Linked DNA regions of Astyanax mexicanus. The protein of the gene in region 3 interacts with the protein of the main gene of each other region in a pairwise test. Links are inferred from orthologs where the notes say so. Each region holds a gene or a part of one and is shown on either strand. Other genes may lie near its edges.

Region 1 (6,589 bases), on a different chromosome or scaffold from region 3:
TAATAAAAAAAAATAATAAAAAATTGCAAGACGACAATTATTAAAGTATCAGGACATTGATCCAAAAGATCACAAAACCATTGCCTCACCTCGAAAAGCAGATTAAAGGCCTCTTCTTCATTATGTACGGGATGTAAAGTAAGTCCCTTCACTGAAACACCACCACCTGGATCTTCCACTATAGTCAAGGCTCCGCCTTGCACCGCCCGGCCCCTCTTTATTGAGGCTAGCAGGTCCACCAATGTCTCATTATAGATCTCCAGAAAGGAGAGGAACACGGAAAAGGTGTGATCCACACGCTGCTCCACCTCATAAAACACCTGGCCAGAGAGAGAGAGATTTCACAAAGAGATGATTAAGATGATTAAATACTGTATCCAAAGGACTGCATCAAGATAACAAATGAACGTTGTACCTCCTGCAGGGCACGAGGGATAATTCCTCTTTGCTGGTAACTCTCTGTGGCACCAGTCATTGTATAAGTTTTTCCTGCCCCAGTCTGTCCAAAACACATGATTGTACCTGATAGACAGACAGAATTCAAAAACTTGAAAACTGAAATTACATGGACTGTCAAACACAGTGACTGTGACACAGTATGATTTTTATAGCAGATATTGTTGATACTTTAAACAAACTTAAATTAGTGGTTTTAATTTAAACTCTTTACTCAAGGTCTGCACGTGAAAAAAGTTACAATCTAAACAATCTGACTTCTGATTCCTAAAGGCCAAATGTCTAACAGAACTAATGATAAAACAATTTAATATCCCAAAAAAAGGAATGCACAGTTTAGAAACATAACCATGCACAAAGTGTAAATTTGACTTCACACTTTGAGAGAAAAAACTTTCAATGGAAGTCAATGTAAAAAAAGTTTATTTCAGGTCATTTTGAAGAGTTTCTATTGGTCCATTCATCAATAGATTTTGGCACAGTGTAAGGAACAGTTTGTCTGTTTAATTTATGTAGTAAACTAAAACTTGACAAAAATGGAGATAAATATTTTTCATTGGACAGCGACTATATGCTTTAGATGGTAAATAAACAATCAGTTCTTGTAGTTCATGTTTGACATGGGGGAAATTGGCAGGTGTGAAGATTTGAATCACCAAAGTGGCAAAGATGCTCCGAGTTAACAAAAGGGTGCATCCAAAAAACATACATGCTTACAACTTCCTAAGACTCACCCCTTAATTTGATTTACTAAATATACTGCTTCATTGCTCCACATGGTGGTGCTAATGAAATAAATACGGTAAACCTGCATATATATATATGTGTTTATGTGGAATGTGTGATGAATACTTGCAGACATATAAAGCTAATTTAGTTGTGGAGGAATGTATAAAACTATTACGATAAATGTACAATAAATTAGTGCTGTGCAAACAAGCAGCTGAAAAAAATGTGCAATAAAACAAATGCTGCAGATAATTCTAAAATGACACAACATTACTGTAAACAGATACATTTATTATATTGGTTACTACTATCTAATTTTCCCAAAGTCCAGTATGTGGTATTGTCAATAAACCAACTTTGACTAGTTTATAATATTTAAACTGATTTTGCGTTTCAAATAACACATTATTAATATGGTTCCAAACTGCACAGCATTTCATGGCAATTACCATTGTAGCCTTCCAGAGCTCGGAGCACCACACTGTGGGCAACGCTCTGATAGACCTCTTCCTGAGACATGTTGTGCATCACACCATCCAGCTTAAATGACCAGGAGCTCATCTGATTATTCACCACCCCTTTCCTGGACTCCCGCCTGTGCCGCACATTTACTGTCTGAGTAAGATAACAAGATAACAAACGTGGTACAAATGAAAAACCCAGTGAAAATAAATGTGATGCTGCGTAATGATAAGATAAACAGAATAGGAAGATGATAAAGTGACTGTTTTATTGAGTGTGCCAGTTTACCTGTTTATCCGGCAGATATTCAATAAGATCCTGGGCAAAGCAGGCCGTGGGTCTGGTGCGGACAAACACCTTCACCTCACTGCTGTGTGCGCTCATGATACCTATTAATAAACCTTTTACAATTATAGACAAACACAATCAAACTTAACTAGTAACACACAAACTGTTGCACTGCCCACATTATATATTAAGCACATCAATTAAACATTTACAGTGCAAACTAGAAAAACATAAGTCACCCATTTGAAATTATTTTGGAATTAAATTTCTGTGTGGCTTACTAATTAAATGTGGCTGCAAAAGATAGAAGGTATTTTTTTAACATGCTTTTATTGCCTGGGGACATACAGTGGTATGGAACATTGTGTGCACTCCTGATCATGTTCATGATCAGCAATTTCAGTAAAATATATCATATAGCAGATAATCACAGTGATATTTGAAAAGTGAAATAAAGTTGATAGAATTTACAGAAAGAGTGTGATAATTCTTTAAACAAAATTAAGCAGGTGCATAAATTTGGGCACCCCAACAGAAAAATTACATCAATATTTATTTTGGATCATACTTCTTTACAAAACATCCCCAGTTCAGTCAGGTTTGATGGTTTCTGATCACGAACAGCCCGCTTTAAATCACACCACAGATGAATATTCAATAATATTCAGGTCTGGGGACTGAGATGATCATTCCAGAAAATTGTATTTGTTCCTCTGCATTAATGCTTTAGTAGAGTTTGAGCAAGCTGCATGTAAGGTTGAATTGGGCTGCTTACTATTATAATCTAAATTGTATCGAGAATTGCTCATACACAGCTCTGGAAAAAAAAATAAGAGACCACTTCAGTTTCTGAATCAGTTTCTTTGATTTTGCTACGTATAGGTTTATGTTTGAGTAAAATGAACATTATTGTTTTATTCTATAAATTACTATATTGTCATTTAGAGCTTTTATTTGCAGAAAATGAGAAAAAAAAAGATGCAGAGCTTTCAGACCTCAAATAATACAAAGACAACAAGTTCATATTCATAAAGTCTTAAGAGTTCAGATATCTTACACACTGCTTTTGGATAACTTTATGCCACTACCCGTGCAGAAATTTAAGCAGTTCGGCTTGGTTTGATAGCTTGTGATCATCCATCGTCCTCTTGATTATATTCCAGAGGTTTATTTGGTAAAACCAAAGTAACATATCATTTTTAAGTGGTTTCTCATTTTTTCCCAGAGCTTTATTGGAAGAATATCAAGATTATTTTTTTACAATAACACCCAGCCCTACTAACATGTCGACATCATCTAGTTAGCAAGATAGATAGGTAAGCTAACCTAACTATTAACTAACAAATGAACTAATTTAACTAACTAACTAACTAATGTAGAACTCCACAGTGCGGTCTGATTCAGACTGACAGGAGTGAACACTCCACCCTGACAACAAGTCCACTAAAACCGCGTGTCAGGTAAACGTGGTTTTAAATTGTGAAATACAATAATTGTAAAAAATGAATACTCATACAAGTAAACTAGAGTTAATAAACTGGCGTTTATTTAGGCGTAAAACATTGTAGTTTTAGTCCTGTTTTTGACACGCACGGAGTATTAAACTAGTTAGGAATTAGAGGCTTAACATGAAACCATATAGTCGAACTTGTCGGATAAACTCACCTTTAAAAGTGTTATCTAGCTGTAGTCTGACTGAAACTAAACTGCTATAATATCTATAATTAGCTAAATTATGTTAGTTAAACTAAGCTACGTTTGTGGCGGAAATCGGAGAGCCGCCGCAGTGTTGAAGCTGTTGCCTGAGCAACAGCACTGTGGGTCGTGTCTCAAACCGCACCCTCGTTCCCTATCTAGTAAACTTTAGTTGCTGTTGTAAAATCAGAGCATGCGGACTTCCTATCTACGGTGGCCGAGAAAGCCCAGCGCAGTGCAAATTGAAAAGCGCTGCAAAAGCACAAAACACATCCATCAAAATTACAACACAGGCGCAGCAACTAGAAAAACGCGCTGCAACTAGAAAAACGCGCTGCAAATAGAAAAACGCGCTGCAAATAGAGCCACAACACAACGGAAGTGAGTCACAACACAACGGAATTTTCCCGGGGGACCTTAAAAGATGCTGTACCAGCTGTATACAAAGGACAATAAGTGGCAAACAAGCTTCTGAAAAGTAAGTTATGTTTATTACCTGTGATTGCCACGGTTGTGTGCATATTATTAAAAGTTCTGCTTCACAAAACGCCTTGTTTTGCCACTTATTGTCTTTTGTACACATAGTGAAGTCCGAGACGTCAGTGTTGGGAAGTAACGGATTACATGTAACGGCGTTACGTAATCAGATTACAAATTATAAGTAACTGTAATCCGTTACAGTTACTGCTTCAGTAAGTGGTAATCAGATTACAGTTACTCTGCTAAAATAAAAGGGTTACATTGCGGTACTTTCCTATTTTTGCTCTTCCAATCCAACACTGACAAAACGCAAATAACATTTTGCGGTGAATACGCTCTGATATGACAGGGAACTGTCTGCCCCTCCTCCCGTCTCGCTGCACACACACACAGGGAGGAGGGGCAGCGGCTCACAGCGGCTCCACACACACAACGAGACGAAATTAACTGACATTTTGGTCAACGAATAAAAACGAGACGAAAATGTTTGGCAGGGACGAAATCCAATCAGAACTGATTTAGGTCTGTGAAAGGAAGGGACCAGTTAGGAAGAGATCCAATCACTGCTACTTTAGCGAAGGTGGAGTACCCGCCTCTCCTGCAGCAGCGCCTCGCGGAATTAAACTGTCGATACGGAGCTCGACTGGAAGTTAACTCGACAGTGTTCAGCAGGGAGAGAGAGAGAGGAGAGGCGATATATTTCTCTTTTGACGTCGTGAAAAACAAGATAACGTGTAAACCGCGTGGAGCGACTCCATTACCGGTAAAAACACCACTAATCTTTCAGCTTCTGCAGACCAGAGTCACACAGATCTCCATGCAGAGATCAGCGTTTTAATGCTGATGTTATTTCATGAGCTGATGTGTTTAACTCGGCAGTGCACTAAAACACAGAACTGATACAGAACCCTAACTCATTAAGATCCGATCATCTGTTTAGTCTCACAGTGGGAAAGATATAGCTAGTGTTAAAGCAGGAACAGGTCAGAAAGGAACTCAATAATATATCCAAAATAAAACAATAAAATAAGTGAATCTATGAACCCAAAAGTTTGTGTAAAGTTCCTTACAGCACTTTCTCATAAGTTTCTCACTTTAACTCATGAAGTCTCTCTGTACATCCTGAGAGCATCTCTACAGGACAGTGTGTGAATGTGTGTTCATTTATAGAATGTAGCTACAGTAGGTGTGCTGGGTTAGTGCTGGAGATAAAACTAGATCCTTTAAAAGTTTTTGCATCTACAACGCTGTTCAAACTATAATTTAACTATTCAGATGTTTTATGACCTGATTTCTAGAGCAAAATTTTAAATGTAAAATATTTTACACACACCTACAATAATAATAGTAATAATAATAATATACATTAAATCATATATAAATATATTTCACTTTCAAACATTAACAATATTACTCAAGTGGTTATTAAACGTTTCATTTTGTATACATGTAGAGTTAATAATTCAAGGGAACTGATGAAAAAAGCATTTACATTTACACCCTTTACATTTTAGTCGACTAAATTTACTGTAATTTTAGTCGACTATATTCTTATGACATTAAGTCGACTAAAACTAAAAACATTTCAGATGACTAAATTGTGACTAAAACTAAATACTATTTTCGTCACAAGACTATGACTAAGACTAAATCACAATTTGTTGTCAAAATTACACTGGAGGCAAACCTGCAAAATAGATAGAGCTTACGGTTGTTGTTACATTGTTTGGTTTTAAATGGTTTTATCATCAATTTATAGAAGTGTTTTATAAAATTGTTTGATGAAATGGTTTCATAAGTATTTTTATAGAGTGATTGAAAAGGCTGTTTTATTTGTTTATCTATTTGTTACATTCATTCAGGCTTAAAAAAATGACAATATTTAAAGTAATCCAAAGTAATCAGATTACGTTACTCACTTGAAGTAATGTAACTGATTATGTTACAAATTACATTTTGAGTGATGTAATCAGTAATCTGTAAGGGATTACATTTTAAAAGTAACCTTCCCAACACTGCGAGACGTACAGTATCTTTTAAGGTCCCCCGGGAAAATTCCGTTGTGTTGTGACTCACTTCCGTTGTGTTGTGGTTCTATTTGCAGCGCGTTTTTCTATTTGCAGCGCGTTTTTCTAGTTGCAGCGCGTTTTTCTATTTGCTGCGCCTGTGTTGTAATTTTGATGGATGTGTTTTGTGCTTTTGCAGCGCTTTTCAATTTGCACTGCGTTGGGCTTTCTCGGCCACCGTACCTATCTCCTCCATTATATCAGAAAATTACTGTGAACCGCTAGAGCAGGAGTGGGCAATTAATTTTCCCAAGGGTCCACATGAGAAATTTGAATGGTTTTAGACTAATATACTTAACTCGGTTCTGCCCAATACATATATACTGTAGGCCTATATAGCATTGATAATAACCCTTTTTATCTTAAAACATTATAAAAAACAGTAAATGAAACATTACAATAATAAAATATAA
Region 2 (6,589 bases), on a different chromosome or scaffold from region 3:
TGCAAGAAAACCATCACATTTAGCTGAACTGCACCAATTCTGTCAAGAAGAGTGGTCAAACATTCGACCTGAAGCTTGCCAGGAGCTTGTGGATGGCTACCAAAAGCGCCTAGTTGCCGTGAAAATGGCCAAGGGACATGTAACCAAATACTAATGTTGCTGTATGTATATTTTTGACCCAGCAGATTTGGTGACATTTTCAGCAGACCCATAATAAATTTATGAAAGAACCAAATTTTATGACTGTTTTTTGTGACAAACATGTATGTGTTCCGATCACTCTATCACAGAAAAATAAGAGTTGTAGAACTTATTGAAAACTCAAGACAGCCATAACATTATGTTTTTTTACAAGTGTATGTAAACTTTTGACCACAACTGTAAACAGTTAGATTACCCATGCCGGTGTCCATCACATAACTGTGTCCGTCCACACAGCGCCACACTGCCTTCACCGAGCCCCAGCACTGACCCTCCAGCACCTCCTTCAGGCCAGGGCAAGAGCTGCAGCTCTCAGCATGCTGATGGGTCCAGGACACAAGGCTGCGCAGACAGCGGGGGTCTGAGGTGATAAGGGGTGCTGTAAAAAACAGTACAATCTGCTGAGAACTGTTCAGTGCTTTTAGAGTTTAACAAAGATTTCAGATGTAGCCAGTATGTAAGATAACATTACACATAGAATCAACAAAACTGGAATTTGTACCACATTCAATATTTTTATTTCACTAAAAAGTCTGCATTAGGAACGTATTGATCTAATCTCACTTACATGACCGGTTCTTGTCTTTTTTCATTGAAGGCCATTTTGATGAAATCCTGTAATTAAATAACCAAAACCATAAAGACCATTTTTAATTTGGTTAAATGATTAGTACATGAGTTCTAGCATGTAAACTGATTTTACAAAGATTAAATATTGTTCAGAGTTAATGTAACAGTATTAGCTGGAATGAAAGTATTACCTAGCATAATTTGTTCTAACAGCACTGTCACATGCAGCAGAACTTTTACAAAATAACAGTAAAAGTTGATTACTGAGACAAATCAAAATCAACATAAAAAATAATACAAATAACACAATTAAGCTAATATTTTATTAGTTTATTTAATTATTAATGCGGTTAGTCGTTTATAGATTCCAAATAAACAGAAGTGGAATATGCGGCTGCAGGCGAGCGCACCTCTCCATGTGGGTGGAGTTAGGGGTGAGGTTGACTCTCTCTCTGAAGTTGGTGAGGATGCTGAGGCACTTGTAGAACTGGGCATGGCAGGTCCTGCAGATGAACTGGGGCAGCGCCGGGTCCCGGAGCAGCGGGACGCCCAGGAGGCGCTGGAAATCTGAACAGAACCGGTCCGAGTCCGGGGGCTTTCCGAAGGCCCTGCGAAGCCGGCGTGAGGAGAACTGCCCGTGGCACAGGCGGCACTGCCCGGTGCCCACCTTGCTCGATTTGCCCACTTTGTCAGGTTTTCCAGTTCCGTGTGGCGTGGCGGGCTCACCCGAGGCCGAGCGTCTCATCTTCGGCTTGTGTGTGTCTGACCGACCTGCCCGGCGCCGCCGCACAGCCTGACCGCGCTGCATGACCCACAGGGGAACTGCTGCTTCACTAGGAGCACAAAACTGAACAAAAACACTCCATTCTAAATATATATACAGAAACACACTTACACACCCCTCACCCGGCACTGACACTTACACCCCCTCTCACCCGGCACTGACACTTACACCCCCTCTCACCCGGCACTGACACTTACACCCCCTCTCACCCGGCACTGACACTTACACCCCCTCTCACCCGGCACTGACACTTACACCCCCTCTCACCCGGCACTGACACTTACACCCCCTCTCACCCGGCACTGACACTTACACCCCCTCTCACCCGGCACTGACACTTACACCCCCTCTCACCCGGCACTGACACTTACACACCCCTCACTGACACTTACACCCCCTCTCACCCGGCACTGACACTTACACCCCTCTCACCCGGCACTGACACCCCTTCTCACCCGGCACTGACACTTACACCCCCTCTCACCCGGCACTGACACTTACACCGCCTCTTACCCGGCACTGACACTTACACCCCTCTCACCCGGCACTGACACCCCTTCTCACCCGGCACTGACACTTACACCCCCTCTCACCCGGCACTGACACTTACACCCCCTCTCACCCGGCACTGACACTTACACCGCCTCTTACCCGGCACTGACACTTACACCCCTCTCACCCGGCACTGACATCCCTCTCACCCGGCACTGACATCCCTCTCACCCGGCACGGACATCCCTCTCACCCGGCACTGACACTTACACACCCCTCACTGACACTTACATCCCCTCTCACCCGGCACTGACACTTACACCCCCTCTCACCCGGCACTGACACTTACACCCCCTCTCACCCGGCACTGACACTTACACCCCCTCTCACCCCTCACTGACACTTACACCCCCTCTCACCCGGCACTGACACTTACACCCCCTCTCACCCGGCACTGACACTTACACACCCCTCACTGACACTTACACACCCTCTCACCCCTCACTGACACTTACACCCCCTCTCACCCGGCACTGACACTTACACCCCTCTCACCCGGCACTGACACCCCCTCTCACCCGGCACTGACACTTACACCCCCTCTCACCCGGCACTGACACTTACACCCCTCTCACCCGGCACTGACATCCCTCTCACCCTGCACTGACACTTACACCCCCTCTCACCCGGCACTGACACTTACACACCCCTCACTGACACTTACATCCCCTCTCACCCGGCACTGACACTTACACCCCCTCTCACCCGGCACTGACACTTACATACCCCTCACCCGGCACTGACACTTACACACACACGTCTTCTCTCCCGGCACTGACACTTACACCCCCTCTCTCCCGGCCCCCTCAGCCCGGCACTGACACTTACACCCCTTCTCTTCTGGCACTGACACTTACACCCCCTCACCTGGCACTAACAGCTACCAACCCTCTCACCCGGCACTAACACTTACATACCCCTCACCCGGCCCCCCCACCCCTCACTGACACTTACACCCCCTCTCACCCGGCAATGACACTTACACCCCCTCTCACCCGGCAATGACACTTACACCCCCTCTCACCCCGCACTGACACTTACACCCCCTCTCACCCGGCACTGACACTTACACCCCCTCTCACCCGGCACTGACACTTACACCCCCTCTCACACGGCATTGACACTTAGACCCCCTCCCACTCGGCACTGACACTTACATACCCCTCACCCGGCACTGACAGTTACACACCCACTCACCCGGCACTGACAGTTACACACCCACTCACCCGGCACTGACAGTTACACACACCCGTCCCCCGGCACCGACAGTTTCACACACCCCTCACCCGGCACCAACAGTTACACACACCCCTCATACGGCACCAACAGTTACACACACCCACCCGGCACCAACAGTTACACACACCCCTCACCCGGCACCAACAGTTACACACACCCCTCATACGGCACCAACAGTTACACACACCCACCCGGCACCAACAGTTACACACACCCCTCACCCGGCACCAACAGTTACACACACCCTTACCCGGCACGAACAGCTACCCACCCCCTCACCCAGCACTAACGGTTACACACCCCCTTACCCGGCACTAACAGCTACCCACCCTCTCACCCGGCACTGACAGCTACCCACCCTCTCACCCGGCACTGACAGTTACCCACCCCCTCACCCGGCACTGACAGTTACACACCCCCTCACCCGGCACTGACAGTTACACACCCCCTCACCCGGCACTAAAGTTACACACACCCCTCACCCAGCACCAACAGTTACACACACCCCTCATACGGCACCAACAGTTACACACACCCCTCACCCGGCACCAACAGTTACACACACCCCTCACCCGGCACCAACAGTTACACACACCCCTCACCCGGCACCAACAGTTACCCACCCCCTCACCTGGCACTAACAGCTACCCACCCTCTCACCCAGCACTAACAGTTACACATCCTCTCACCCGGCACCAACAGTTACTCCTCCTAACCTATAACAGTAGCGATGTAATATTAACACACACTACTGTGTTACACTGAAACACAGTACAATATAGTGCTGCACTTACCCTCAGTCATACTCCATTAAATTCCATGAAACCTGGATTGTGTAAAAACCAAAACAGAGATCATAAACACACCTAAAATATACGAAAGCCAGTTAACATACATTTTATTATCCTCTTCTGGGTTTGAGAATGTAAGATTTTATATGATGCACATGGATAAGCATTACAGAAATAACCCGGTTATAAATTATTCATCACACTTACACTATACAGAGCACACAGAGACAAAACAGTAAATAGTCTTTTACCCTGAATTCACTACATACAGCTAGCTACGCACTAGATACGCAAAACCTCAGCTACACGCATTAAAACACACCCGAGTTACCCATAAACCATATAAGGAGATATTTATAACTAATCTTTATTAAAACAGACTGAATGCAGCATATAATTACTGAAACTACCCTGGCTCATTCAGCATGTATTAAATACGGGGCTTGTTTAACTTACAGTATATAAAAACCCAACCACCGAACTCGATTATCTGTGGTCACCTTAAATATTTCAGGTAGTTCCACCTTAAAACAAACCATTTCACACAGCTGCACACACTCAGCACTGTTATAAACACCGGCAGCGCTTATAAACAGTGTAATAACGCTCTCAGTCTCAGATCAGCTTTGACCCTACCTGAGTCCATCAGACACCGGCGCTCGCGCTGCCGCTCAGTACACCTGCAGAGAGCGCCGCACTACTAACACTGCTTAATCTGAAAACTAACGATAATACTATAATAATGACAATAACAGTAACAGCAGCAGCGGCGCTAACGGAGATCAAAGCTGCTCGTGCAAAAGGCGGGAGGGCGATAGGCACGACCCGGAACTCTTCAGTAGTAAATAAATGCACAGAGAGGAACAGCTCCCAGCCCAGAGCGCCCCCTCACCTGCGGCGCCCGGAGAAACGCACGCACAAACGCTAATTCTCAGTTTCGCTGTCCATAAAAATACTATAGTGCATTCCTGAAGTAAATCAGTGCAGTCAGTTTTACTGGTTTGATTTCCAAACCAGAGCATGAATCAAACAAAGAATCAGTAATAAGGAAAAAGGAGAAATAAATACAGGAAAAAAATTAACTGAACTACTTTAACTGTCCTTTACGGTGGCTGAGAAAGCCCAACGCAGTGCAAATTGAAAAGCGTTGCAAAAGCACAAAACACATCCATCAAAATTACAACACAGGCGCAGCAAATAGAAAAACGCGCTGCAAAAAGAAAAACGCGCTGCAAATAGAACCACAACACAACGGAAGTGAGTCACAACACAACGGAATTTTCCCGGGGGACCTTAAAAGATACTGTACCAGCTAAGCTGCGTCTTCAGTAACGTCTCGGACTTCACTATGTGTACAAAGGACAATAAGTGGCAAACAAGGCGTTTTGTGAAGCAGAACTTTTAATAATATGCACACAACCATGGTAATCACAGGTAATAAACATAACTTACTTTTCAGAAGCTTGTTTGCCACTTATTGTCCTTTGTACACAGCTGGTACAGCATCTTTTAAGGTCCCCCGGGAAAATTCCGTTGTGTTGTGACTCACTTCCGTTGTGTTGTGGTTCTATTTGCAGCGCGTTTTTCTTTTTGCAGCGCGTTTTTCTATTTGCTGCGCCTGTGTTGTAATTTTGATGGATGTGTTTTGTGCTTTTGCAGCGCTTTTCAATTTGCACTGCGCTGGGCTTTCTCGGCCACCGTAGTCCTTTCTCTTGCACTAACAATTATATTCAAACATAATTTACATGTAAATTAACTTTATCATAATGCATGTTCTAATTGGAGTTAAAATCATCAGTCACATGATTGTCAATTGGTTATGCGAAACAAACATAACACTGCTGATTAAACATTATTAAACAATATGTTTCTTTAAGGAGCTTCATTAAATCCAGTAAACCAGTCATGTTTTTTTCTCAGGGCCTTTAGACCTTCTGGCCTGTCTAAGACTTTGTGGCGAGCCGAACAGCCATGCATAGTCTATCTCAGAAGAGGTTACTTCACATTCACTCAAATAGCCTCTTCCTTCTTCACCTGACGATTAACATTTACATTTAAGTTATTTAGCAGTAGCCGTTATCCAGAGCGACAGTGCTTCGTTGTTTACTTCAAAATATCCATAGCTAGTTTGTAGAGACTAGGATCAGTCCAGGGTCACTCGTCAAGCACAGTTGTCAACATGTTGGCCTTGCAACCTGCAACCTGCAGTTAAAGGAGCTCTCTTGAAGAAGCTCAATAATCAGTTTGGTACACTCTGGGGAAAAAAGATCGCAGTGATAATCTCAGGAATTTAAAAAGACCTGGACATCCACGGAAGTCAACAGTGGGGAATGCGAGCAGAATCCTGTCCATGGTGAAGAAAATCTCTTCACAACATCCACCCAAGAGAAGAGTACTCTCCAGAAGTAGGTGTATCAGAATTTATAATCAGTCTACTATAAAGAGAAAACTT
Region 3 (6,589 bases):
TATACCACAAAAATTATATCACCGTTATTGAAACATTTCTTATCACGATAAATACCGATATCGAATTATTGTCCAGGCCTAGATCGGTCCAATCTCTAAGACTTTCACCAATCTCATTTGTAATCACAATGTGTGAGTCCAGTTTTTTTTTTAAATCATGCAAGACAATGCTGAATATAAGAGCCCCTTATATATGATCTTACCTTTGTTGAAAACACCCACCACTCCTAAAATAGTGGGCATGGTGGCATAGAGTTCATCTGCTTTGTGAGAAGACTGGAGGTCCAAGGGTGAATCGTCTGGAGCGTAGCGATGCGTGGCCGTTCTCTTCCTGTTCCCCCTCCTCCGGGGCTCCACCGCCGTGAACTGCACCGCCTGATCCTCCTCCATTCCAGAGTCCATGATGGATTGGGTCGGGGGGCTCTGCGGCAAGGCTGAGGACTGTGGGCTGGTCACCTCTCCAGGGTACTCATATTTAGACTGGTCGTCCTCCTCCTGCTGGTCCCAAAGGACGTTTTCATTGGCTGTGCTGACCTCGCAGGCCGTGGGCTCTTCACTGCCATCCTCACCACCGTCTCGTGAAGCGCTGCCATCCGACAAACACAGGTAGCGGCTGTCCTCCTCCTTGGTGCTGATCTCCAGGGAGGATTTGATGAAGGACTTGCAGTAGGCGATGACGTCATCCATCTGCAGGTAGCTGGCCGCTGACATCACCTCGATCATATTGGTGCTGTTAAGCTCCAGTTTTCCAGAGTACACAAAGTCCAGGATGATGGTAAAGATGTCGGGGCTAAAAGCGTCAAAGGAGGCACTGACGGGCTCCAGGCTGCTCTTGGCCCCCTGGGAGAGCAGCATGCGGAAGTAGCCGCTGCTGCCGAACAGGACGTTACGGTGTGCCCGGAAAAGGTGCCCCTCCACAAGGATGTTGCAGTCACAGAAGAGCTGCTTCCGTCTCTGTTGGTCCAGCTGTTTCAGGAGGCAGCACTGGTGATTGGCTGATATGTCTGCACTCGTGAATTTGTGGATCAGCCTGAAATAAGAAAAGATGCAGTTAAAGATGGCATGATTAAAAATTAGCTGGTTTTAAAGAAATATGTTGTGAAATTAGAGGTGGACAATATGCCCCTAAAATAATATCACGATATTTCAAAAAACATTACTCCTTGCTGAAGGCCTCTGACAACAGACTAATCCTGTCCCCTTTTTTAATTATTAAAAAATATTCAGACATCGAATTTCAATATATAAAATATTTTTATGTTCTAAATAATGCTGCATGCCATCAGCAGCCAGAGTCCAAGAAAGCATAATTGGCCATGCTCTCTTTGGAAGGGTAGATGGTGCTTCTCATTGATGTCAATTGAATCTCCATGCTTGGTAAAAAACTATGGGCAATATCTACATCAGCAAAAATAATTGAGGTCATGTTCATATACTTTATGATAGGTTGATAATGCCTTTATAATATTCCATATAATAATAATGTTATGTGACAAGTCTACCACAAACCATCATACCCACACAAAAAGAGCAGGTGTGGACCAGTTCAGCAATAGAGAAACCACATCTTACAGTAGGTACAGATGCAAAATGACCAAAATATATATAATTGATATCAAATTTAGCATAGACACAGCAGCTAGCCTTGGTTAGATAAAGTATGTTTTGCTGTTTGATATAAGCTAAGATATATGATATATGTTGATATTGAATTATTGTCTAGTCCCACTTGTAATATAAAAGACAATAAAAAATAAATTATAAAAAATAATTATTATAGTATATGCTTGTTTTTAGCCACCAACGTTAAAATCTAGGTATACAGAGTCAAATCGGCTCAGCCACAACATTTCCACTGAAGTGCTCCAGACCGTGGATCATAATTCACCCCAGCAGCCCATTTCTGGGTCATCCTCTCCCCTTCCCAGATCCTTTGTTCCATCCAGAAAGGAAAAGGGCTAAAACAGACACCCCTGCTTTCTGATTGGCTGTTACGTCTGTCAGTCAAGCGCGCTGGCTCTCGAGGAGAGAGCCGCACCCCGTGTTATTTCCTTTCCCACCTGTATTGCGACAGGTCCCGCCCCCTTGATGCACTGTGATTGGCTAATAGAACAGGACTGAAAGTCATGAGTGCGGCATCTGCTATAAGCTCCTAGTGCTGTCAATTATATTCCTAAAATGGGTGGGGACAAAAATAACACACACACCCCCGTTTCTCCCAACGGGTAACAGAATTTAGGATCGGGGTGGAGGTAAATAAAAAAGGTCGGGTGGTAAAAATCAGAGAAAAATAATATATATATATATATTTTTCTCTATCTTCTTTTATTTTATAGATTTTAATGTATATGATTAAACCTTGTAATCAGAACAGACAAGCACCAAAAATATATTCTATTTTTTTTTTACCAATATCTTACAAACATATTTTCATTTATATTTCATTATAATAAGTTAATAATTAGCTATAATATTTCGCAATTGATGTTGAAAAAGAGGTCAATCCCACAAAAAAAGAAAAAAACGAGCACGCCCGCCCGTGCTCCATTAGAGCAGCCTACACCCGTTTGAAAGGCGAGCTAAAACTAGCTTCTAACCTCCAGGACCTGGATAACGCTCACTAGCCATAATGTGTGTGTTTTTCCTCAGTTAATAAGACAGACGAGATAAATGTGTGGAATATTTGCCATAAAATAAGCTAATAATGTGGAAACGGGCAGCCGCTGGAAGCCCTTCATGTTTGAGCCCATCGACCTCCTTCCCTCCCCCTGTTCTCTACTAACTGCAGCAGCTAAACAGGAAAATACAGTAAAATACTGTGTCCACGGCACTAAATGCAACATTTTGAGCATTATCAACGAAATAAAGCGAATAAACGCCCATATTAAGGGTTTAAAGAGGGTGGGCTAACATGCAAACCACGCCCGGGGTGGTTCAGGGACTTAGCTCGGCTCCCACAGCCCGCGGTTAGCCCTCTTCTTCAGCGGGAGATCCTGCACTGCGCAGCGGCGGCGCGGTGCTCTCTCCCCGTGCGCGGAGCTCCGCCTAGCCCGCTGACTCCCTCCTGCCTGACCTCCGCCCGCCACCCACCTAAGTCCGCTCCGGCCCCGCTGCCTGCCTCTCTCTGCCTCTCCCCCGTCTCACACTCCGGGGCGGCTGTGCCCCTTCCTTCCGCCCCCTTTCCTCCAACAAAGCGGCATACAGCATACTCACTGCTGACCCGGCTCGCTCGGGGTCCGGTACGGTCTACTCGTCCCACTTTCGCAGACCATCTCCATGTCTTTAGGCTACTTTGGTCGGTTTTAGTGGTGGTGCTGTTTCCCACCCCCTCCAGCTTTAACTGATCACTTCCTGCTTAGCCCGAAAGACCGAAACCCGTTAGTGTGTGTGTGTGTGTGTGTGAGGGGGATAAAGCCCCCCACACGGCTCTTGCTGACGTGGGTGTTCAGAGAGCCCGCCAGGGCTGTGGAGCCACTTAAAGCACAAGTGTCCTCCTCCACATGCCCGCTCTCCGCTCGCTCCAGCCCGGCCACTCCACCCGACCTCTGCGCCTCTAACCCTCCCGCAGGAGACCGACCGCACCCGTCCGAGTCGTCCAATCTTACCTCGATATCAAATAACATTTAATAAATGTTGTTGTTTTGTATGCATCACATCTGTCAATGTTGACAATGGAAAAACAACAATTAAACAGCCTGGTATTAAAAACCTTGAATAAATGTTATTGTTTTGGTTGCATCCCATCTTTTAAAGTGGACAGAAGAAAAATTTAACCACCCTTTATTTAACATTGCCTAATATAGGCATTGGTTAGAGTGTTGAAATTCTGACAATTAATCGAACTCATTCAGTTTGAATAGTTAGAGCTCAGAATATACACCCACAATGGATAACACTATTTGTTTTAACTAATAATATTATTATTAGTCCCTCAAAACGTTGAGAAAACTATTTCAGGTGACACTACCTCATGAAGACACTGAGATTAAAATAGCAAGACTGTAGAATGCATCTTGAGCACCTGCATTACAGCCTGGTTTGGGAACTGCAACATCTCAGATCGCAAGACCCTACAGCGGACAGTGAGGACAGCTGAGCAGATCATCGGAGACCCTCTCCCCTCCATCACCGAGATCTACACCACACGCTACATCTGCAAAGCTTATGGACGACCCCACCCATCCCTCACATGTACTCTTCAGTCTGATGCCGTCCGGCAGAAGATACAGGAGCTTCCGAGCCTTTACTACCGGACTCTGCAACAGCTTCATCCACCAGGCAGTCAGACTCCACAACACACAGATCTGAACTAAACCCCCCACCACTCTTCACACACAGAAAGACTCAGCACACAGAGACTGAAATGTTTCTCTGTGTTTCAGTGTCTCAGTATCTTCATCCCTATCAGCAATGTTTGCTGCTTCTACCAAAAAAACACAAATTCTCTACATCAGTAACTGCTGTGATCATGTATGTTCTATACGTTACAGCATGTTAAATTCCTCTGCACCTTATCCTCACTAGAACATTTAACTTTACCGTGATGGTACTGCACTGTCTTGTCTTTTAAATTGTCTCATCTATTGTATTTATTTGATTTATTTTGGTGTTTTAGATTTATGTTGCTCTTACGTTACACTTTTGCAATTTGTTTATCTATTGTATTGTTGTAGCTGTACCAGAAGCTCTAAAAGCTCTTGGTGCAGATCTAGAGTGTAAAACCAGGGTAACCTAGCTGCTCCACCTAGTAGGTTTAAAGTTAGAGACAGAAGCTCTGAATCTGTTGCTGCACAGTTTATGATGGTCATCCTTTAGTCCTTCATCAGTGCAAACAGGATGCTGTTGGTGGACTATTCTCTGTCCAGCAGTGACAGTGAGATGTTTAAAAACTCCAGCAGCACTGCTGTATCTGATCCACTTATGCCAACATACACACACTAACACCTCATACACCACCACCATGCCAGTCAGTATCACTGCAGTGCTGAGAATGAACTATAAAGTGCCCTGCCAAAAATGAGAAAATTGACAGTGGGAGGAAAAACAAGGCTATCATCATTTTATATTTTATTAGTAATTATTGAATGAAGTAATACTGAACTGGGCTCATGTGCTGAATAAGAGCTGAATGCTAGAGTAATTCAGATCAACTTTCATAATAAATTTGGGTTTAGGCGACGGATAGAATTCACAGTTAGGTTAACAAACGTATTATTAGTAATTAACTAGTTATTCCAATGCTGAAACGTGGGCATAACACATGTAATGGCTGAAATACACAGCTTTATAAATGCACAAGATACAATATATATTTTTTTGTAAATCCCTTTTATTATGAGTTGCAAAAAAGCACCTGTTTTGGTCTTCTTGTATTTGGCTTCAATGCAGTTATAAAAGAAGTATAGTCAGATGAAAATAAAACAATCCCTTGTTTCCCAAAATAATTAAATTATAATTATTTAAAGAATTAAGTTAATCAACAGTATTGACAACATGACAAGGTACAAACAGAAAGATATGCAATGAACTTGGCCCTGGAAATGTTAAGTTAAGAATGGATTTGAATAAAGAAAATACAGGATCAATAAAGACACATACTAAGATTGGTCAAAGAGACAAAGGCTTGCTAATAATAATTTAAAAGTAATCAGGTAGAAACAGTACTGTAAGGAATGTAAATCATTCATTGTGTCATTGTTTTCATAGATTTCGTCTAGTTTAAATCAAGTCGTAGAAAAGTAATGGACTTCATGGCTCTAGGATCTTCTTCTCTTCAGTCTTCCTTCTGCATCAGCTTCACACCACATTCCCATTACTGAAGCCTGTGGGATTTTGGGACTGCCAGCGCCACAGGTCTTCACCTGTCAGAGCAAATAAACAGGAAATTGCATCATCAAATGTCAAGACGAAAAACTGAATTTATTTCCAGTATACAAATTTTTTCCAATAGGGAGTTGTTGGAATGGAATGGAATTTTATATGTGTAAATGTAAAGACGATATATGTATATGTAAGTGATTACAATTTTAGAGAGAAAGGATAAGTTTATTGGGGAATGCATACAATCCACTGAATAGAATCCATATCAATCCCATTAAAAGAAGGCTAGCTTAGATACAATATAAAATACAGTGGGTAATACAGTAGGAATACAGGTTCTGCATGGCATCCTGAAGCGCATTTAGCTAAAGATGTTGCAGTTGGGCCTGTAGATCGTGTACATTTTAAGGATGTTGAAGCTAGAATACCAGCTGGATACCACACAGGACTTGGATTCTCCATGAATGACAATGCAGTGCCACTCCGTAGCAGTCCACGTTTCACAGTCCCACGGCAAGTAGGGCTGCATGATATATCGTTTTAAGCATCGTCATTGCGATGTTAGCATTCGCAATAGTCACATCGCAGGACGTGCGATGTCACTTAAGGCAATTAAATCAAACACGTCATGTTGCAATGTTTTGATTCTTGACACAAGAAGTAGATACACAGCGTCGTCTCTGTGTCTGTGTAAATGACAGGCTGCTGCTGCCTAAGAAGCTTGAGGGTAACTGCATGGCCTCCATCCACATGGTTGGGTATGTGCTTG

Evidence for each region.
Region 1: the proteins of zbtb8a (region 3) and kif9 interact in binary tests that used the Homo sapiens proteins (3 or more experiments, as listed by UniProt). The two-hybrid records come from large-scale screens. The link is inferred for Astyanax mexicanus from reciprocal best matches to the Homo sapiens genes ZBTB8A and KIF9.
Region 2: the proteins of zbtb8a (region 3) and znf276 interact in binary tests that used the Homo sapiens proteins (3 or more experiments, as listed by UniProt). The two-hybrid records come from large-scale screens. The link is inferred for Astyanax mexicanus from reciprocal best matches to the Homo sapiens genes ZBTB8A and ZNF276.

The regions. Positions count from the first base shown.
Region 1 is NC_064415.1:39,516,601-39,523,189, reverse strand, and holds the start of kif9 (kinesin-like protein KIF9), read right to left. Parts: upstream 3,757-6,589; 5' UTR 3,601-3,756; intron 2,049-3,600; exon of another isoform or gene 2,037-2,048; 5' UTR 2,032-2,036; coding exon 1,936-2,031; intron 1,801-1,935; coding exon 1,635-1,800; intron 523-1,634; coding exon 416-522; intron 321-415; coding exon 90-320; intron 1-89. UniProt on the Homo sapiens protein: Essential for normal male fertility and for progressive motility of spermatozoa.
Region 2 is NC_064417.1:11,333,426-11,340,014, forward strand, and holds the start of znf276 (zinc finger protein 276), read right to left. Parts: upstream 4,173-6,589; 5' UTR 4,141-4,172; intron 1,619-4,140; 5' UTR 1,580-1,618; coding exon 1,182-1,579; intron 817-1,181; coding exon 770-816; intron 581-769; coding exon 398-580; intron 1-397. UniProt on the Homo sapiens protein: May be involved in transcriptional regulation.
Region 3 is NC_064421.1:41,106,643-41,113,231, reverse strand, and holds the start of zbtb8a (zinc finger and BTB domain-containing protein 8A), read right to left. Parts: upstream 3,545-6,589; 5' UTR 3,279-3,544; coding exon 3,214-3,278; intron 3,167-3,213; exon of another isoform or gene 2,914-3,166; coding exon of another isoform or gene 2,912-2,913; intron 1,031-2,911; coding exon 204-1,030; intron 1-203. Other genes in the region: gale (UDP-glucose 4-epimerase), read right to left, coding at 5,797-5,861. UniProt on the Homo sapiens protein: May be involved in transcriptional regulation.